4 linked regions of the Drosophila melanogaster genome follow. The gene in region 1 interacts genetically with each later gene. Each region holds a gene or a part of one and is shown in the gene's direction. Other genes may lie near its edges.

What was found.
Region 2: of mxc (region 1) and pho, changing one enhances a phenotype caused by changing the other (phenotypic enhancement), as found in Drosophila melanogaster (one study listed by BioGRID).
Region 3: of mxc (region 1) and Psc, changing one enhances a phenotype caused by changing the other (phenotypic enhancement), as found in Drosophila melanogaster (2 studies listed by BioGRID).
Region 4: of mxc (region 1) and sxc, changing one enhances a phenotype caused by changing the other (phenotypic enhancement), as found in Drosophila melanogaster (one study listed by BioGRID).

Annotation. Positions count from the first base shown.
Region 1 is NC_004354.4:9,237,421-9,245,203, reverse strand, and holds the start of mxc (multi sex combs), read left to right. Parts: upstream 1-1,736; 5' UTR 1,737-1,999; coding exon 2,000-2,045; intron 2,046-2,103; coding exon 2,104-2,271; intron 2,272-2,334; coding exon 2,335-2,509; intron 2,510-2,578; coding exon 2,579-2,879; intron 2,880-2,983; coding exon 2,984-6,950; intron 6,951-7,012; coding exon 7,013-7,715; intron 7,716-7,783. Other genes in the region: Larp7 (La related protein 7), read right to left, coding at 1-997, 1,058-1,328.
Region 2 is NC_004353.4:1,178,598-1,183,389, reverse strand, and holds the start of pho (pleiohomeotic), read left to right. Parts: upstream 1-1,761; 5' UTR 1,762-1,800; exon of another isoform or gene 1,801-2,022; intron 2,023-2,108; 5' UTR 2,109-2,251; coding exon 2,252-2,342; intron 2,343-4,792. UniProt on the Drosophila melanogaster protein: Polycomb group (PcG) protein that binds to the 5'-CNGCCATNNNNG-3' sequence found in the regulatory regions of many genes.
Region 3 is NT_033778.4:12,977,948-12,982,606, reverse strand, and holds the start of Psc (posterior sex combs), read left to right. Parts: upstream 1-1,612; 5' UTR 1,613-2,559; intron 2,560-4,385; 5' UTR 4,386-4,443; coding exon 4,444-4,659. UniProt on the Drosophila melanogaster protein: Polycomb group (PcG) protein. PcG proteins act by forming multiprotein complexes, which are required to maintain the transcriptionally repressive state of homeotic genes throughout development.
Region 4 is NT_033778.4:5,305,436-5,310,327, forward strand, and holds the start of sxc (super sex combs), read left to right. Parts: upstream 1-1,852; 5' UTR 1,853-2,063; coding exon 2,064-2,217; intron 2,218-4,892.

The DNA of each region.
Region 1 (7,783 bases):
GCACCTTCACCGCCATCGCTAGGGACCTCGCCTCCGGTTTCCTCCTCTTTAACTGCCTCGGGCAGCTGTGAAGGTTTCGGATGGTTTGGATGACTGGTCTGCTGGTGGTGAGGGTGCTGCTGATTTTGTGGGTGATTTTCTCGCCACAGCTTGCTCTTTGCCTCACTGACGATGCGACGCTGTAGATTCAAGTACTTATTGCGCATACTGCTCCAACTAGTCTTGGGTAGCACCTTGAGCTCCAGGGCACTGGGCTCAATGTTTGGCTTGTCCACGATCGCCTTCTTCTTGCGCTTGCGACGGCGCTTTTTGGCAGCTTCATCGCCATCGGTTGCCTCTGTTTTGTCCTCCTGCTCGGAGGCTTCGGCTGTGCCCTCTGCATCCGTTTCACTCGCTGTTTCCCCAGCTGTAGAGGTCTCGCTAGGCTGGCCCTCCTCCAACTTAACCCGTTTCACCTCGTGTATCTCCTCGCGATCCTTGTCGGTGGCCTCCCTTTTTAGATTTCGCTTTGGCAACTCAACCTGTTCAGCCTCTGACTGCGGCTGCTCCGCTTTCTGTTGTATCTGCTGCTGCTGCTGAAAGGAGCGCACACTGGCCAGATCACTGGGATCGGTTTCTACGGACAAAACGCCCTGTATCTGGGCAAAAGCCTTCACAGCTTTCTCCAAGGACCCGCTCTTTTCGAACTCGATAAAGGCAAATTCCTTGATCTTCTTAGTGCCCGGATAGTGGGGCAGGGACACGTAGGCCACCGGTCCGTAGCGGCTGAATACCTCCTTCAGCCAATCGTGAGTGGCATTTGCAGGCAGGGCCTCTACATACAAGGTTTTGTCGTTGACATCGCGCTGATCTGGTAGCTTGGTACGTCGCTTGACCTTTAGTTCGGTCTCATCCAGCTCCAGAAGCTGGGAGTTGCTTAGTGCCTTGGCTATCTGCTGCACATCCTGGGTGAGCGTCTTTATCTTATTGAAAGTGAGAAAGATTTCCAATGGTACATCTGTAAAAGAATAACATGATCAGTGTTATGTTGGCTGGTGAGCCAACCTTAGCTACTCACATGGATCCTGCTCTACGTAGCGCCGAAGGAAGCGATCCTTGCTCAAGTTGGCGTCACCGAAGTAGAATTCCATTTGACCGCGAATCGAATTGAACAAATGCCTCTTCCTTTTGCGTCCACCATCCTTTTTATCCGGCGATGCGTCTTCCGGCGCCGGTTCTTTGGAATTTTCCTCAGCTGGTTCAGTGGGTGCGGCTGGATCGGGTTTCTCCGCTGATGTCGCGGGCTCCTGACCCTCGCCCTTCTCCTTCTCGATACTCTTGGCAGCCATTGAGTGCCAGTTAACCAGTAATCTAAGTCACTCGAATAAAATATTGCACTTGGTTTTTGCGTTCTGATCTATTTGGCAACGCCGTCTAGTTATGAATTGCTGGGATGCCAGGTATTTGCAGCATTCCCATATCGATAGTTTAACGAATATCGGATTCTAAGTACTGTAACGTACACATAAAAACGAATTGAAGCAAGACCATCAAAGCAATAAAAACTGCTATAATTTGTTTTAAGCGAAAGAGACGTATTTCTTTGCTTTAATTATTACCATTATTTCCCACGCTCCTAATAAGGCTTGGCAGCCAAGCGCAAACAACGGGACTATATCGATAGTTCGGCGCTGTGGCAACCCTACTGCGTTGTTTTGGCGGGCGGCAAAAAAAACACAGATGCTATGCTAACCTATGTGTGTTGTACAGTGCGCCGCTAGAATCGGCAACAACAAAACGAAAATAGTCGGCGAATAGGCGAGAAAATGGTTTATTCTCTCTCGAATTAAAGCGCTGATTCAATTCCGACTAACTATTGAGTGATTAAACCTGCAACAGTCAATAATAAGGCATTACAAGTGCGTTCGATAAACCTAAAGTCTTGCAAGCGAAAAAAAAAAGAAAGGCAAGGCGAAAAGCGAGTGGATGGTGACGCTTAGCTGAGTCGGAAAGTCCAGCCATGGAGTCGATTGTCCTGCATTCGGACGTGGCTCGCTTGGTCCTGGGTAGGTTTTCCCTGGACGCTTTTCTAGCTCGCAATATTTATGCTCTTCCATTTTGTAGGCTACCTAGTCAACCAGAATCTAAAAAGGGCCGCACACACTCTGTGTCGCACATCGCCTCACCTGCGCCACGAGTTCCTGGCCCTTAAACAGGGCCTGCAGACGCACAACTTCCTTCACGGGGGTCTGGAGGAGATAATCTGCGAGCATGTCAAGATCACAAGCTTGGGTAAATTAGCACGCTCCTTGCGTTTCTTTTTTTTTGCGGCTGACCGAAAATCTCTCTTTTCAGTGGCCGGTGCCGTGCAGAAGCTGCCGCTGGATATGCGTATGCAGCTGCAGCAGATGAAGCTGTCCGAACGGGTCAGCGAACTGATAGCCGCCGGCGAGAGGAGTAGCTGTACCAATGAAAGCAGCACCCCAGGCGAGCCCACCATATCACAGTCGCATCGCAAGAGAAGGCGCTTGTAATTATAGATTTTTCCTTGACACAAGCACATCGGAATTCTCATTGCTCTCTTACCCCTTTTCCCCAGGCGCACCCATTCTCCCGTGAACAGCATTTCTTCGCCTTCGTTTAGCAAGCGACCGCGTCTGCTGCCGCCACACTTCTACTGCAGCGTTAACCGCGACAAGGTCAGGCAGAGTTTCCTAGGCAGCCAGGATGACTGCGAGGCGGAACTGGACGAAGAGGATGGCGAGAGCACAACGGCCACCGAGGACTTGGAGGAGGATGACTTACTTCCGGCGAATGGTCCTGGTCCGCGCAACAATTCCACGCCGCGCCAAGGTCATACCGAGTCCAATCCACTTCTGCTCACGCCGCAAAGCATGCCTGTAAGTCCATAGACATGCTTAATGCATATCTGCTTAATTAACCAATAGTGCATCTATTATGTATTCTAAACAAAAAACACTCTTTCGATTTACATTGATTTCAGGAACTGGCCTGCGCGATAATTAAGAATCAGGACTTCCAGGAGACGCTGGTAAAGAATATTAACGTAGCGCTGCAGACGGTGACTGTTAACAATCCGTCGGTAAGCTGTGACGCCATGTTGGATGGTCTAGTGAAGAACATACTGGAGGCCACCGAGAAGGATCCCTCGTTCGATCGCATCATACAGGAGGTGGTGATCGGGGATGAACCATTGGCAAATGAGGAGGACCCTGGTGTGTCGCCTGCCTCTGATGCTGCTGGGGCTGCTATTGTTCCCGCTGCTGATGGAGATGTGCTGCCGACAGAACAGGCCGTGGATCCCGTGCCGCCGCAAACACCGCTTATTATTCGCACCGCCGTTGCAGCCACCGCAGGAACCAATGCAGATCCCAATTTCTCCATCTCCAAGCTTATCGTACTGAACTCCAACGAGAGTGTCCAAAAAATGGTTGCTGGTTTGGATACGTCCAATATCAGCTTTACAAGCGAAGGCCTCAATATAAATTTTGCCGATCCAGCGTCAATGCTCAGCGAGGTGGAGGCGACAGCTGCTGGTCAGGTTTGTGTGGACGCCACCACCGGGCAGCTGACGTTTCCCATGTACCTCTCGAACGGTGGACTGCTGTCGCATCTTCCATTCCTGGTGAACAACGAGTGGGTAGCCCAGCAACTTGGGCCGGATGCCTTTGCCAACATTGATGACTCGCACATTGAGATATCGCTGCCGGAGCCGATTACTCTGTCTGCCAATCAGCTGCCCCCCAATTCCATTATCATTAGCAGCGCCCAGAAACAACCACCTCCCCCAAGCGTGGAGCCTCCAGTCCAGTTGATAAAAGATGCAGCCAAAGTGGACAACAAGGCGGGCCAGGGAACGGCGGCAAAAGAGCAACCGATAGATCAACTAGAGGAGGAGCAGCGAAAGTTTCCACCCGCATCCCTGGATTCATCTAGACAAGTCATGGAGAGAGTGACACCCTCGACGTCGGGAATAATTAACGTAAAGGCCTTTCGTAGCTTATCCACTCCCCGAAAGAGAACTTCGCATGTACGAACATTAACTTTTTCCCCTAAGGTTCCTCCTGGTGGCGTCCTGCATTCCAATACGCCGCTGTCCACTAGGCGACCTGGTTTGCTGGCCAAAGCCCAAGAGAAGCCAATTATCAACCATGTGGAGATCATCCAGGCCGCCTGCGACCTGAGCTCAAACGAGGGCCTTGGAGGAGTGCCACCACTCTTCGCCATGGAGGAGTGCAGCAATCAGACGGTGATCAGGGCCCATCCTCCAGCTGCCGCTCCGTCAGCAGCTCCGGTTCCTCCGTTGGTGGCCACGCCCAAAAGAAAACAGAAGCGACAAGCAGCGGTCAAGGCCTGCAAGCGAATCATCTCCCAGGCGGAATCGGAAACCAAGACGGATAAGGATCAAAAGAAAATTATGCCCAAAAATAACTCTGCCTGCAGCGCATCGTCGACCGCTCACGATGACAGCGCCGAGGCCAGCAAAGAGAATCTCCAGGAGCAGCAGAAGATTGAAGGAAAGCCAGATGTAGGCTCCGCCGCCAGAGGAGACGCAGTTGTAGATAACGATATGGCCGCCTGGCAGCGCCAGTTGCATGGCTCCAATTCTGACCTTGAAAATCGGCTGCGTGAGATTAACTCCAAGCGCGAGGAGGTAAAGGCCTCCGGCCGCTCGAGGCGTCCAAAGAAGAAAGATACACCCACTTCAGCTTCGTCGAGAGCACGAAAGGCTCCAATGGTCAAAGCGAAGGCGGAGCCCATGAATCTGGCAAAGAAACCGCAGCGCAGTGTTGGGGATTCCACTGAGAAGATCAACATCAAGATTATCACTCCTCAGAAACCAAAGCTCCTGAAGAAAAAGAAGGTGTTTGAGGCAAAAGAAGAAATCATAGACGAAACCATAGAAGAAACCATAGACGAAACCCAAGCGGAGATCGAGGAAAAGGATCAGAAGAAGAAAAGTGAACAAGGATGCATATATGCAAAGGATCAGGAGCAAGCGAAGGCCTTAGCGGCAGAACTGTCGCGACCCAACATGGCCATGCTTCTGGACACTCCGTTTAAAGCATCTCCCATTGGAGCAGGAGCAAGCGGAGCCGTAGAAGATGACACCACATCAAAGGAAGCTGGTGTTGGTGTAGCCGCTATCATCCCACCCACGCCAGGAATGGCCATTCCACCTCTGGACACGCCATATGGCAAGTTGCCCAGTAGCAGCTTTCTCTTTGGTTCGGATACCAAAAGTATTATGGATACGCCCCAGTTGAGTGCCATCACACCTGGATTTCGCTTGACACCTTTTGGACAGATGCCCGGTACTCCGATAGGCAGTGCTGCCAAGACTGAGTACTCTTCAGGCAGTTCCTATTATCGTCCGGATGAAGCGGAACACACCGATGCGAATGCGCAGTGCGCAATACAACAGTGGGGTGATCCGCAGGATAAGAAACAACCCAAGGTTCGGTCAACGCCCAAGAAGAAAAAGGTTGAGGCAGAGGATGAGCTTTCGCAACAGAAGAATCAAGAGCTAATAGAAATGGAGTGTTCAAAGAAAAGCCTTCATCCGGAGGACAAACATGCTGAGGACAATAAGAAAACACCGAAAAGACCAGAGAAGCCAATGGATGAACATCTGAAGGAAACTGAAAACGATGGTGAAAAGAATGAAACGGTTTTAGAAAAGACACCAGATGCTGTGAAGCAACCCGTTGTCCTGTCCTTGGAGCCCACCGTCCTTCGACGCGTTCGATCCTTTGGCAGTGAGGCGGTGGACAGTGCGGAGTCCGCTACAGCTGGCTCATTTCCCTCCGATCAGCAGCAGCTTCCGCACTATAAACTTTTGCCTGGCCTGCCCGAGGCAATTATTGAAGGATCTAGTAATTCTAGCTCCTCGGCAACCAGTTCATCGTCCTCATCCAGTTCGAGCTCAAGCTCCTCCAGTAGTTCATCATCGAGTTCCTCATCCTCGTCAAGTTCTCACAGCGGAAAGGGGGAAAGCAGAGGGGAAGAGGCAAATGGCGAGAATGCCGACGAAAAGTGCAGCAAGAAAAAGGAGATGCTACTAAACATAGATAACTTATCGAACATTAGCAGCACGGAAGACGAAGAGTGGCTGAAGGCAGCCGGTTCTGAGGATGCAGTTCTGCCCATGCTTGCTATCGACAGTCAGCCAGGTCAGTTAGTTAGCCAGGACGGGGAGGTCCGCTATCCTATCCGGAATTGGCTGACACCAAGCAAAGAGCAGGCCCAGGAGACGGATACCAGTGGAGAACAGCAAACAAAACCTACACCTCCTAAACCGGTGGCTGCTCCTGTTCCGCCTCCGCCGCTTCCTCTAACACCGCCAGCTGCTCCTCCGCCGCCTCCACCGCCTCCGCCAGAGGCGGACGATCCTTCATCCGTCGCTCTTCCAACGGCCTCTACAAGCCGTCAGGAACACCAACGCCAGCAGCTGAATGAAAAACGCCAACGTGTAGTGGCCAAGTTTAAGGAGCAACCCCAACCGATCAAAGGTCAAGGGAGAAAGACTGCCAACAAGAAGCTCACTGCAATGCGTGAAAATGCCAAACTGGCCAATCCAAGCAGTCAAAAATCGCCAAAAAATCGAAAGCACATCGAACCACTGAAAACAAAAGCAGCTAAAAAGCAAATAGAACCAAATCCGAATGTTAAGTCCACAGAGGCTACTGGTCCGCCAGTCGGTGCCGCCACAGATGCGCCAGCAGATCCGCCAGCCGGCAAATTGGATCCCGCTCTGCTCATGGCCCTCAATCTATCTGCGAAAAAACAGGAATCATTACCGATTGTAATCAAACCAAAGGTAAATCGAGCAGCGGTTGAAATTGCGGCACAGCCTGCCCCTGGAAAACGTGGACGCCCGAAAAAGGTACAGAACGGGGAGCCAGCCAATCTCTGTATGCGACGATCCTCGCGCCTAGTCGAAAATAAAAGTAAGTAGTTAAGATCCAATCGAATGGGTATTGAAACTAATATATTGTCTTTGCAAAACTAGCTCCTGCTCCGGAAGATCTCTCCAAATCCACTGAAGGAGCAAAGACGAAGACCCAAATCAAGGCAAATACCAAGAAACCGGCCAAGAAACGTGTCGAGGCAAGGGTACCCTCCTCCACAACCGATGCTCCGGCACTGCCCATTGTAGCGGAGGCGGAATCCACCCAAAAATCTCCAAAGCAAAAGCCGCAAATTCAGCAAACAATACAAGAACCTAAACAGGATCCACCGCCATCGAAATGCGATTCGGAGCCCGATGACAGCGACTTCGAGCAGGACATGTGCCTGAGCAGCAGCCAGGAGCGTTTTACCTATAATTTCACATATGCGGACAACGGACCAAAGTCCAGCAATCCGATGATACGTCAGCCATCGAGCTATTTCAAAAGCTATCAGATGCGCTTGATGACCGATGACGAACAGCTGCATACGCTGCGCATAGCCAGTGCCCAGGTGCTCTGTCTGGGCCAACCGGTGGCCAGCGCCATTCGCAATATACCCAAGAAGCGGATACGCCGCCTGACCGGCAATAGTGGCGGGACAGCGGCAACAGGGGGAAGTGCAAGTGTAAGTGGAGGAAGTGGAACGGGAGCGGAAGTTGCTGCTGCTGGCGAACAGCCTTCGGCCACGTCTACGCCGCTGGTGGAGAAGCCCCCATCCAGGAGTGGGCCGCAAGATGAGGAAGATCTGGAGGTGGCCACCATGTAAGTGGTGAACATATGCATTTTATTTTTTGTATGCTTATCATAATAATAATACCGTTCTTTAATTC
Region 2 (4,792 bases), on another chromosome or scaffold:
AGAATAAAGACGTGAAAACCATCTCTATGATAATTTTTTATTTCTTAGCGTTGACCTTAGTCAACTGAAATTAGTTAGACTCAAATATATAACAATTATTTTACTGTATGCATGTATGCATATAGTAATGCATATTAGTTTACTTTTCCATGAAAATGCATTAATTATATATGTAATTGTATTTGTTGTATAGAAGCAATTACTGGACCACCGGCGGATGAAAAGGTGGACGACAATACGCAGCCTCTTTATTGAAGCAATATTAAAAAAGAAAATAATAAATTTAATAGATGAATTCTTTTTTGTTTTTATTTAAAACGTCGATGTTTTTTCAACATATTTCGCCAAAAACATCGATGTCCGCCATCATCGATATTTCTCAATCTCTATTAACAGAGTCAAATCAAAGACATTAGAATAACATGATTGGTAACGACCATACGTTGGTTTAGCACAATGCAGTCACTTTTTTGGTGACGGTCAATATTGACATTCTCTGGTAATCGAATTCGTAAGAATTTTACTTTTGTCTGGGCGAAATTAAAAGTAAATGCCTGTTATACATACATATATCTATCAAATCAGATCTTATTAACTAAGGAAAAAATATTTTATTCAGTGGTCTATCGATGTTAATTCCAAATCACCACAAGATCATTCTGCCAATGCGTTATTATACAAAAAATGTATTTCCGACCCCACCTCAGATTTGACAAACAACATTTTGCCGTCAGCAACAAATATTTTCGATTTAGCAAGGGGATTAGCAAAGGAGAAGTACGTTCCCAATATTTATTGCGAAGGCTGCCATACTGTTGGTAAAACGAAACAGGCAGGTAAAAATACTTATAAAATATAAAAGAATTCATTAATGAATTTCAGGAATGGCCAAAAGAGTTGTATGTATTTAATTAAATGTATTTTTATTACTTAAATGTCAAAGTGCAATAACAAAGTAATTGCGAACGTCGGACTTAAAACTGTAAAAAAAGGTGTCCGCTCTATGGTCTGGAAAACAGCTTGAACAGCTGTTTAATGTTTACAAAACATTCCGATAGCAAAAATTTTGCGAAAACCAAAACAGCTAAAAACGAAATCAAAAGATTTTGCCCAAATCGAAATAAAAAATAAAAATTACAGGAGCATGATTGACTATAAATTATCGCTGTGCATGCTTGGCATCTCTTACATCAGCACAAAACACAAGGATTGGCAGAATTGGCGCTTTTTCAAATCTACAGCAGAACACAAGATCAGTAGAGATGTTGAACCATCGGTGCCTGATCCCACGCAGTAGAAACTTTCCCCTTTCGTTTAACAGTTGCCTCTTTTAAATCTGTTCCAGTCTCATGTTAAGCTTTGTTAACGATGGGAAATTGGTTATAGCATGATTGCACTCGTTTTCCGAAATGAGGATGATTCCATTTCCACATTTTCGAAATGTATTTGTGGACCGTATCATATGAACTTTATTTATCACTAAAACTAATAGAAAAATATACACATTCTTTGATAGGATTTTCTTTAAGCATATGAAAAATTTAATTCATATCGGTTTACAAATTTGTAGTATTATTTAATTTTATGTTTTGCATGTATATTTCAAGCTATACCGATATAATTACAGAGATTACAGCCAGCTTGTTCTATATTTAGAAGCTAGTCGACGTGGAATCAAGATATATTTTGCGTTGTAAAAAAATACTAAAGTTTAGTATGTTGCAAAAAACCCAAATATTTAGGCATCGAATACCCATGCCAAACAAGCAGAATAACCTTTTCAATATTTTGAGTCATTTGGTATCGCGTTTTATAAAAATTACTTGAATTCTTTTGTTTTCCTCGGCTTTTAGTGAAACAATTCGACTATCATTAAATTTATGTGGCGTTTAATTAATCTTTCGTATTATTTCAATCAGAATTTTTTTAACATATTCACTACATTTTCTTAGAGAACCGTTTGTCATATTTAATGTATATTATGTTCCCTACTTAAATATGACAATTATTAATTCTGTGTGTGTACGTATCAATCATCCGTGATATTATATTCATGTCTTATATTGCCTACATATGGAATAATGGCAGTAAAAATGCTGTTCTTTCAGATACATCAAATAGCCTCAGGGAATGCAACGCTCAGGAAACATACAAATCTTACCTAACACATGTGCCTACAATTATCCTGGCATTTGAAATGCTTTAATACTAACTTTAAACTCATGCGTATGTGGATTATAGTATTGTAAATATGGCATACGAACGTTTTGGAATTATTCTTCAAAGTGAACAGTACGATGAAGATATAGGCAACACAAAAGTCAATCAGAAAATGAATGAAGGTAAGTTCGGATTTTACAGGCATGTCTATGTTTTGAAAATCGAATTATAGCAACAAAGCACTTTTTTATAAAGCGTAACAACAAAATACTGTTTAATGAAGCATAAAATATAAACATATTTACTTGTTATACCCGTTAGTCCTAGAGTAAAAGGGTATACTAGATTCGTTGAAAAGTATGTAGAAGGAATCGACCACAGTATTCTTACTCATGATCACTAGCGCCAAGTCGATCTGCCCGTATAAACGTTGAGATCTCGGGAACTAAATAAAAGATGTGAAAGTTAAGATAAAGCATGCACATTCTAGAGAAAATTACCACTTCTACTCCAACGCCCACAAACCTTCAAAAACTGTCAAAACTAAAATTTTAATATTGTTTAAGCCGCCATACTAACATTTTTAAGCCAAGCCCAGATCGTTAATGTCAGCTTTTAAGCGCCTTGGCATCGAAGAAATGAAGTATCATCAGATTGTTCAGTAATATGTTAGGTTAAGGTTTTTCCAAAGGAGGCAAGACTCGGAAGACTATCACTCAAAACACAGTGTTGACGGGTGTGAGGCTAATCCTCATCTCTCGTGAGTTACCTGTAATGGCGGAGACGCCGGGTACCCATGTAAGCGTTAGTTTGGGTGTGCTGTAGACGTTCAAGTTCAATAATGGTGTTGCTCACAGGCACGCTCTTGCTAGTGTTCGCTTGAAATGTTAATATGCCGCATGACTGTCCACAATCAAAGCTGTTATTCTGATTCCCATCTGACTCACATCGTTCTTTAATTGCTAAACTGCAGAGTCCTTATACCCTTGTGAGCGTTAGTTTAGTGTGCCGTAGATCTCCCAGTTCCATGATGGTGTTGCGCACAAGACCCGTTACCTTTTCGCTTTTGGCTTAAAGATTTAAAGAATATTATATGGATATGTACGGATTTGCGGATATCCTAATGTGCTTTTGAAGACATAGAATTTTAATTTAAAGTATTTTTAATTAGCTGCGCAAATAATTTTGTATAGAGAATATAGTAGCTAATTTGGTTGAAAATTTATCACGCTATATAAGTATTCTTAAACTCGCAAAGTAAAAGGGGTTTCGAAAAACAATGGCAACCGAAGGAAGCGTTCCCGACCCTATAAAGTATATATATTTTTGATCCAGTGAACTACCCAAGTCGAACTGGATATGTCTGGCAGTATGAATGTCGAGATCTCAGGAACTAAATAAGCTAGAAAGTTGAGATTAAGCATGCAGATTTCAGAGACAAATCCGCTCAAGACTGCTATTTGATTATTTTTCTCCACTAGTTGCGTAATGGGTATCTGATAGTCGGAGAACTCGAACATTTTCTCTCCTTTGTTCATAGATTTAAATATCAACATGCTGTGCATGCTTGCTTACACTGATATAATCGCCTTTACCCGAAATTGTCTGCCTGTACTTGTTCAATATTTATAAAGTATTAATTACGTTATAAAGTATATACATTATATACACTTTTTGTCCGTTTCTAGGTAAACTAGTTTCCAAATTTGAAAGAATTATTTCTTTAGAGGATCAATATACAGCTGAATTCATTGAAATATTTTCCCTGATCCCTCCCTCTCTTTCGTGAGCGACTTTTATTTTACTTTTGTAGAATGGACATTTACTTTTTTATGGTGTTTATTAGAATAGAGTTGTCTGATGTTGTTTAACGAAATAAAAATTAAAAAGTGAATTTGATTAAGTTGATTTGCATATTTAAAAGGACAATGCAATAAATAAAATTTTAAAGAGCCCAGAAACGAGGAAATAAATAAAACAACAAAGTATAAGTGTAATATTAGTAAGATCTAATTATGTGTTAAAAAAGTTATAATTGATTGCTGTAAGAGCGGCAGAGAGTAAAGATTACAGATAATAGGATTACGTCTATTATAGTCAGAACATAACATGAACATACAGAATGATTTAAGATTAAGGGTATGTAGTTTCTAGTGAATATACTTGGAACAGAGAAGTTTCGCCGAAAAACCAGGTCGGGACTACTCGTATCGTACTACTCGTAAACTTACTAATAAAGACTGTTCCAAGCATCGTTCTACGGTTAGCTAGGGAGGGTAACTGAATTAGAATTAGTCTACTGGAATGAGGAATAGGACCCACAAGGCAAACATTAAGAATTTTTTTTGGACCCATTCAATGATGCCCAGTCTCTGCCTAGCCTTCGTTGCATACGGACGATCGCGATAGTCTAGTCTGTTTGTTGTAACACATCAACAACTCTTCCAATCGTACTGTGCACGCGCACAATTTCTATTTCTATCCAATGCACAGCAGTGGTGACAGACAATTACGTTACTTATCATAGATAAGCTCAACCAAGCCGACGCTTTGTAAGCCCCTCAATTGTTATCTCTCGAGCTTGCGAAGTTGACAACTAGTAGTAACACCAATGTTACCAACACCATAACCA
Region 3 (4,659 bases), on another chromosome or scaffold:
CCTTTGGAGGTCCCTGTAATGCTGGAATTTTTCTTCTACGGTGAAAACTGTGTGCGAAAGTGTTTACTGGAGTGATTACAAAAAAAAAACAAATCCCTGCCTAAAACACCACTTAAATTAAAATTCATTGGGGTTTTTTGACCATCACTATTGTGAAAGATATGATAACAGAATGCAATTCTATTATGATTCCGTAAAAGTTCACGCAAAGACAATTCTTGAGTGCATATTTTGTCTAGACGATTCATACAAAAGGCTAAAAATAGACCAAAAAGCACATTTTCAATAAAATGCAAGCTTTCGACATAAGGTCCGATCGGTAAACAATTTTATAGTAACATGAACTTAAAAAAAAGTTGGAAACAAACTAAGACAAAACAAAAATATTTGTTGATTGAAAAATATAATAACATTTAAATGTTATGTATTCAATGATAATTTTAGTTGTTTGGCTTGAAGGGTACTTTTACAATTGTGTACTTATCAAACTTTTAAATATAAAATTTTAATATTTTTACAGTTTTAATATACTCTAAGATTACTACTGTATTTCTTCTATGAGAATAAAAATCAATCTTTATTATTGTTTGGGATGAAACTTTAAAAACATTTTGTAATTTATTAAGGCTAGTTTAAGAAATGGTTGAAATATAAGAATAAGAAATATAATAAGAAATATATTAATTTAAAACCTCCTGACATCTCCGATTTTACTGTGGGCAAACCAATCAATAAAAGTATTATAATAGAATGGAAAATGAATAAGAAATTAAAAAATTTTAAAAAGAAGTTTTCCCTGCAATAAAACTGAAAGAAAAAATCTTTAGACTTTTTGATCTGCGAACTTCGAAGACTTCAGAATAGTATTGGGTGAGTACGCTACTATTTAGAGGATAGGATCATTATAAATAAAAATATGCAAAATAAACTCTTAACTCCCACGGCAATGATAATAATGGTGTTAATTTGCATGGAAAGTATCGTCATGGTACGGTTCCTTCGTTCGCAATTTATCCGTTAGATCTGCATTGTTACGTTACGTAGAGCAGTCTAACGGTTAATTCGCCAAGACGGAAACGAAGTTGCTGCTTTTATTGTTGTTGGCTGCCACTGATTGGAGAGCTCTTTCGCGCTCACATTGTGGTTGTTGCTGTTGCTGCCACTTCTGTGGGGGAAAAAAGGAAAAGGCAAGGGAAAAGAAGCAAAAAGCATTTCCAATTTGGAGGCATTAAATAGCGTGGGAGCGAGAGGGGTGCAGATATAGACGTACGCCTACGTGCAAATATGCGATTTCTGCTGACGGAAATTGCAAGTTGCGATTACATAGGCACTCATTCTACCTTGATTGCACATGGTCTTATGTATTCCGAAGTGTTTGCAGATGGATAAGAGCCCGTAAGAGTTGTAAAACCTCTGCCATTTATGTGCAGCCCTTTGTTCTCTATCCCCCTCCCTCTTCAATTTTCCGCTTGTACATACAGAAACGAACAAAGAAACGGCTGGCAAAGCAAAAGAAAAGAGCCAAACGCCGACGTCAATGTCGGCGTCGACGCAGGCAGCGGCAGCGACCGACGATGTGGCGACCGAAAAACAGAGTCAGCGAAGAGCGCCTGTTTTAGTGCAACACCAACATTCAACGAGAGCGGTTCGTCGACGCTGTGCGGAAAGATTACAGAGCGAACGAGAGAGACCGAGCCAGAGCGACGACGCCCCGCAACGAGAACAACAAAAGAGCCGAGTGCGCGTGCAAGAGAGATAGCTGACTTGTTGCCCAGTGAGAGGCCGGCGAGAGCGAGACGGACGATCAGTGTGCGAGCGACGAAAAAGAAAACAAAGATACTCGCCCAGAGCAGTTGGCTACCTGTCTTTGGCCTGGTATATAAGTGTGTGTATGCGAGAGAGAGTAAATAGCGGGCAACGCAGCAGTACATAAACGAAAAGCAGCGTGGTCGTTAGTCGAACAAAAACTCTCAAAGCGAACGGACGTGTGCGGTCGGTTGTTTCGATACTCCTGCTTTATCGCTATCCAAACAGAGTGAAGCGACCACTATAAATAACGAAACAAGAAACATGTGTTTATATTACAACCAGAGCTCAAAGCTTCAGTTGCATAATAATAATAATAATAAAAAAGCAATCTGAAGCCAATTTCCTTTGTGTGACAAATGCCGTAGCAGCAACAACAGAAGCACAACACAACTACGTCTGCTGGCTTATGTACGTCGCGCGCGCTTGTGTGTGTGTGGGGCAGAAAACATAGAGCAAAGCATAATACACAATAAAGGTGCCCGCGAAAGCAGAGCAGCCGAAAGTGCCAGCGCGTGTTGGTGTGGTTTGAATGTGCAGGCGAAGTGAAGAAGTAGAAAGAAAATAAAATAAAATAAAAGTGAAGTGGAGCATAGTGAAGAAAGAGAAGCAGAAACGCTGACTCAAAACTCAAGTGTGGATTATTTACTTGGATTATTCCTCTTGCCATTGGATTATTTATGTATACAAGGCGACCACCGCGATGCCAATTAACTGGCTGGATTATTAGTGGATTAAAGATTGGATACAAAGGTACATGATTGGCGTTAATCAACACTGCTCTCGACCGGCAGCTGTTGCGCTCTCCCCCCACCAACCACAGCCCCTCTTCTGTTTTCTCTTGATGACCCCCTCTCTTTCTTTCTCCTTTTGTCCCAGCAAGTAAGAATTTCGATTGGACACACGGCAATTGAAAAAGGGGAGCATGAGAATATGAGCGTGTGTGACTGATTTTTTTTTACTGCTCTTTCATTTAGCAACGTTTTTTGTTTTATGTTTATGTACTTGTTTCTTTGAATGAAAGCAATATGCGAGTGTGTGTGTGTGCGTGCTTGTGAAAGAGGAGATAAAGCCGCAGTCTCGGTTCTGCATTCTCCGAATTTTCGCTGGGTTGTTGTTTTTTCTGTTCCCTGTCACAGTCTCGCGTTTCCCTTCTTTCAACATCCCTTCGCATCCCTACCCACACACACACACACAAACATACGCGAGCATATAAACACACGCACACCACACACAAATAAGAAATTCCGCTGCTTTTTTTTTTATTATCCTTTTCATGTTGGTACTCACTCACATTTTTTTGCGCGCGCGAGAATCCCTGAGACTTTAAACACGGCAATGGAATGGGTTCGGTAAAATAAGAAGGGAAAGGGCCAACAGAAGGGTTCCTCTTTTCGCACAGCACTTAAAAGTGATGTAAAAAGGATTTAAAGAGGCCTGCTGGCAATTTCTTTTCGCCCTCTCCCATATACAGTCATTCATATTCCATTGCCATATTTTCTGTACACAAATATAATTTTCCATATTCTGTGTGCCCCCGGAGTTGAAAAAGTTTTTCCGAAAAGTTTACCGTATGTACCTTGACTTTTTACTGGCGCGTTGATGCAAAAACAACTTGAAGTTGTTTGAAATACACATTTTGTTCGACGCCCCCACAGATCCGCCCCCCACTTTCGATGTACTTGGCATCTGGTTAAAACTCCACTCGGCACTCTTCACTCTCCCCCCTCCACCCTTCCATCCATAATAAAACAAAGCACCCCTGTGCAACTCTGCTCCCCCCTCTTTTGATCCCAAAAGTGCTGTGCATTTCAATATATTCGACGTAGGCATTCCCATGGCAACTACAACATCCATTATCGAGGGCCCCCACATCCATCGACTGATTGCAAATAATAGCTGCCAGATTGCGACTCCTTTCTGTCTACTGCTCAAGTCCCACAAGCTTTAATTTGGGACATCATGTCTGAGTTAAATGCATTTTGATTTCTTTGAGCTAAAGCGTTCTCTAACAAATTAAAGTCAAAGCATATTCACTAAACTCTAAAAATTGAAATGATCTTTAAGTTTCGATGTTCATGCAACAACATATTTGTTTATTTTACTTAATAAGTTCTTGTCTTTGATCATTTATATTGAGTCAGCGTACTTGGCAACATCATTAAAATATTTTCTGAACAGATCTCTTATGACGATCACTGTAGAAACTTTATCACCATTTCAACTATATTAAAACTGATTCACGAAGAATGATGCAAAAGAGAAGATTGCAGTGAGGAAAAATACGATCCCACCGAGTTCATTAACTCTACCAGTTTTCCCAGAAAGTGTATATTTCCCTTGCCTCCATTATTCTATCGTAAACAGCGAGGGGCGAGTGGAGCTTTAAGCTTCTTCGCGCACCAACGAGGCTATACCGATATAGCTTCGGCTTATTGCTTTCTGCGGCTCAGCGTCTGATTTATTTATAATCTTCAGCACGCTCTCTTCTCGAGTCGATTTACATTTTCCATTTCACATTTTCCATGCGCTCCTTTATTCGCATTTAATTTTAACTTCTGGCATTATCTATTTTGCAGATTGACGCTTGTGCGAAAAACAAAAGCGAATTTTTAGCGGCGAGAGTGTATTATTACTATGATGACGCCAGAATCGAAAGCAATACAGCCGGCAGCAGCAACAACAAAGCAAACAGCAGAAGCAACAGCAACAACAACAATGGCTCACACACAACAAAAGTCGCAGTTGTCAACGTTGGCGAAAACAACAACGACAACGGCAACGAATAAGGCGGCCAAAAGCGTTGTCAGCAATGCAAATAGCAGTGGCAACAATTCGAGCAAAAAGCTGGCT
Region 4 (4,892 bases), on another chromosome or scaffold:
CGTGTGGGCCGCTCTAGTGTGGTCGCCACACACAACTCCCAAGGGCAAATTAAATCTCGAAACATTCGCTAGGCTGGACGTTCAACAGTGCCGTTGCAGGATTAATTATCGACCTCACGTTCATAAGCAGTCCATTCGCTCGCTTCTCCTGTTGGGGTATCAAGGAGGTGGTCACAGTCAGTGACCACGAGGCGATCCAGGTCGAAATAGGCACAAAGGCAATCGAGAGCAGGGCTAACACGCAGTAACCTAAGGCCTACCGACAGAACACCATGAGTCTAGAAGAGTCCGCCGGCATTCTCCATTACCTGACGGTCAACGAGGCGAACTTGTGATCGCAGCAGCGGATAAAATAGTAGCGAGGGTGGAGGAGGCCTGCGGCCAAAGCATGCGAATGAGGAAAACGAACCGAAGGCACCACACCCTGGTTTTCTGGTGGAGCGAGGATATTGCCTTGCAGCGCATCATCAGCCTACGCGCAACGAGACTCGTACAAAGAGCTCGTGGCACCACGCGTCTGGAAGCATGCCATACGGAATACAAGGTCACAAAGAATTCACCGAAGAAAACGATTAGAGCCAGCAATCGTGAATGCTTTCTGAAAGTCTGCGTCGCAGCAGAAAGCGATCCATCTGCTCTGGAAAACATCTTTAACGTTCTGTTCCTGTTCGGTCTGCCATTCCCAATTCCCAGATCGGGCCAAGCGGAGACGAATTGCGGCCTGTCACGGAGCCCGAGATCCTAGCGGCTGAGAGGAGTCTTAAAACCAAAACGGTACCACACCCGATCGCATCCCAAGCAAACTACGAGAAACAGTGCTATGTTTGTTACCGCCTAAATTTGAAGGTTTTTTTTTTGTTTTACCAATTATTTTTAAAATATCCATGAGATCTGTTACTAATTTTTTTATTTCGATTGAAAATCATTGTAGTATTTAAGTTTAGTGAGTAAAATAATGAGAAAGTGTCAGAAAATAGAGAAAAGCTGGGACAAACACGAAATGTGCTTATGATGCTATTATTGTTACCGCAACTGTAATAAAGAGAGTTTCTTGACAGTCTTAAAAGCGTGTAAACTTGGAATTTGTTGTTTATTTTCTTGTATATTTAATATTTTTAATTTGTTTTTTGATTTATAAGTAAAATAAATATTGTTTGATTATATTTTATAAAAAAAATTGCGTTTAATTAAGCAAAAAACCCTTTATTTTTAGCTTTAAAGTCAAAAATTCAACTTATTTTACAGTGTGTAAACAGTTTCTTGACAAACTGTATGTGATATGTGATTCTAGAGACATAGGCGCCGCGCAAGTTTGTTAACCCATGTTGCCATGTGCAATCCAACGCACACATACCGGACAAAACTGCCACGTCTACACTTATGTAAAATGTTTTATTATTCTTTCATATTTTTATTTTCTTTTAAATTTCTATGAATTTGCCAGAAAACATTTTGCCATGACCACTCTAACGCTAACAATTTCAAAATGTTTTGAAATTTTTTGATTTTTGTATACAATTTCTATTAATTCGCGGCCACGGCCCTTCTTACACCTTCCAAACCGGTCAAGACCGAACTTTTGATCAATTTGAAACAATTTTGTTCTTATTTTATATCCCAGTATTTAACGATATCCCAGAAAAATGATGAATGAATTTCGTGTTCCCATTTTCACGAGCTGACTAACGGTTATCTGATTGACTCGACAATACCATTCTCTCTTCATTTGAAATTATATGTGGTATATCATTGGTATAACATTGATATTATGTTAATATGGTTTTTGCCGCCGTAAGAATAGGGTATAAGCTATTAAGTTGCTGTTCACAGTGTTCAATATTTGAGTATGTAAATATTTGATTTTCTCTTGTAAATCGTATTAACAGCTGAGTGGATGTTTGAAAATAATTAAATCAGGTTGCTTTTATAACTTAATGCAATTCATATTGATATTTTACTGATATTCTCTTTCTTAAAGGTTTAATCATGTAAACAACATCACAGTGTCTTTACTTAAGGGTGGCTTATTGATTTTAGACACATGTTATCAACGTTGGATTTTAATGCATGTTGAACAAACACGAATAAATATGCAGTCTCAAGGACAGAGCCATCAACTGCCGTCCGCGGCCCATATATTATTAGATCAAAATCCGAATTCAACAGGCAGTAACCTAGTCGTAAAACAAAATGACATTCAATCTCTTTCATCAGTCGGTAAGAAATAACCATACATTTATATATGTATGTACATACGTTTGTAATTGATTTTTTTAAAGAATACATCTAGTTAAATACTTTATACATTAATGCAAATGAATAAGTTTGACAGCGAAGACAACCACAATTAAATTAAGAAAAATCAATAAATCAAACAATTGGTTATGCCTGGCCCGAGATAGATATGTGTCTAATGTGTCTCATATTAACAACATATTAAGAGATGCATATGGTGTACGCATCTAAAAATTCACACAACATAAAAATCAGTGTTCAGTGTCTGAGCTTATTTCGTGTAGTTAAATTAATTTTTATGTTGGCATTGCTTCGATGAAAGATACCAGAAAAATGTAAACGCAATATTTTTGAAAGAATTATTGACATGGTTAAAAAACAGACGATTTCCGTATTCTAAATGTGCATCCCTCATTAAAGCCGTATCTTGTAAGGGGTATCTGGTAGTCGAGAAACTCGTCTATAATGTTATCTCTCACTCCATCTAAAATTAAATTTTTTATTGTAATTTTTTTTTTTTCTGGCTTAAAGCTTACTTTGCACTTAAATTTTTTTTCGTTCTGCTGTAGCTTGCACGTTTTTCCTTTTTTAAATTTTTGACAACATATATTACATATATGTACATATATTATTTGGTATTCATTGAAAAGTTCTTCGGTGCTTTTCGGCCTTCATTCAATACAGTATTTTCTTTTAGGGAGAAGCTTCCGCTTCTCCGCGAAGTTGGATCAATCTCGGATATTAAAATTAAAAAATTGTTAGGTTTAAAATGGCCATTTATTGAATATTAACATACTGCACAAAATAAGCTGCGGCATAAAAAACACCTTTTTGTTTTCTAAAACGATTAGAAAATTGCTTTTTTTTTATATAACAAATTTAAGAATCCGGTGCTGAAATACCTTATTGGTTTGAAACCTCTAAACTGTACGAACAAACTACAGCAGACAACTTCGGATGTGTCCTTTGAAATTTCAAGGGTTCGTTACCCTGCATATCCGTTGGTTAATCTGCACCAATTGAAGTGCTTAACACTAGTCTAATTTGTTTAAACTGTATTATTTCTAGAATATCATTGACTGCGTAGTGAGAGATCTTGAAAACTCATTGACTCGGCCCATTTTAGGGTAGTCCTGAATCTGGATGTGTATGATCTATACCTGTATTTCAATCTGCATACATATGCATGTGTCTGCAGTTCTCAGTGTGTGTCTCAATCATCTTTCCTTGCTGTACCTGAGGAATTATCTCTTGAGCATAGTATCTAGTTGCCTTCTCTAAAGTATGAAGCTTATACAGATTACTTCCTCTGATAATTGCACGAAATAATATTCAGTGTGAAGAAGGAAGTTTAAAAATAAGTTTTGTTTTCATTTTATTATTTGCCTTGCTATGTTTTATTGATTTAAAAATCTGTTGCGGAACTCGACCAAAGGGTACGGCCAAAGACACCAGAATAACAAGATGCGTAACGCCATTCGATGTGGCTCTAGAGCACTATGGGGCATTTGGCCTGTTTTTTTTACAATAATGTGTTTTTCACAAGTATGCAAATTTGAAGTATTTTAGTATTAATACATTGGAAATACGTTAAACTGTTATGATACAGCCCGCAAAAGTTAATTTTACAATGCACCGTTATAATAACAGCTGTTAAAGTCGGCTGTTGCGAGCATATATCACGTGGCTGCTTTGCGCGCAAAATTTAGCTTAACTTTCAAAGTGTTAAAATTTAAAAAGAAGAAGAAGGAGAGTATAATTTGAAATAGATAATCAATCTTTAGGTTTTTATTATGTGTTGTTATTAATATATTGTTTATTGTGTGCGCCTATTTCTAACAATTTGTACATTTAGCAAGTGGTGTCAACATGTAGTTGTTTGAAAAAATTTTAAACTTTGAATAGAGCTACAACAATTTGTTCAAATTTGTTCAGTAAGTGTTTATATCCATGTTGTAGTGTGTTCAATTTCTAACTCATATCAGGTAGTCTCTATGTGCGTTTTTTGCGGTTTCTTGAGAAATTTCATTTTTTAGGGAGCAATATCTCGATTTCCAATGCTGCCCTGCTGGAAGTGTGGCGCAAGCAAAAGGTTGTTCGTCAAAAGGAAAATTCTATTTGCACTTTTATCAGTGGGCATATTTCTGATAGCAAGCTAGACTTTAATGAACGATTAACGAATAATATTAATAACGAATGATTTCAGTCAATCTTTTGCGAAATTGGAGAAAATGCAATCGAAAAATAAATGAATTTTTGAAAGTTTTTCAAATTGGTTAGAAGAACACCTAGTCCTGAAGGTAAAGGAGAAAAATAAAAAGGAAAGGAAATTAGCTGGACTCCCGAAAACGTCATATTATTTAAAAAATTTGAGTGGCCGAAGACAGCAAGCAGATGAACTCGTAAGGGCGCAGAATCACAACGAATGTCTTTTGGTTCAAGCTGTACGGAAGTGCTGCCTGCGGGATCTTGCAGCCATACTTAAAATTCTTTTGTTGAACCCAGCCAAAGCAAAAACTATTAGTAGCTTCGCAGATGTCTTTTACAGAGCAATGGATACTACGGATCCCATAATATCATCAATAAATTTAAAGAGGCGAAAACATAAGCGACTATCTCTTCCACCAGAAGTCATTCAAATGTTAGCTTGCGAATTT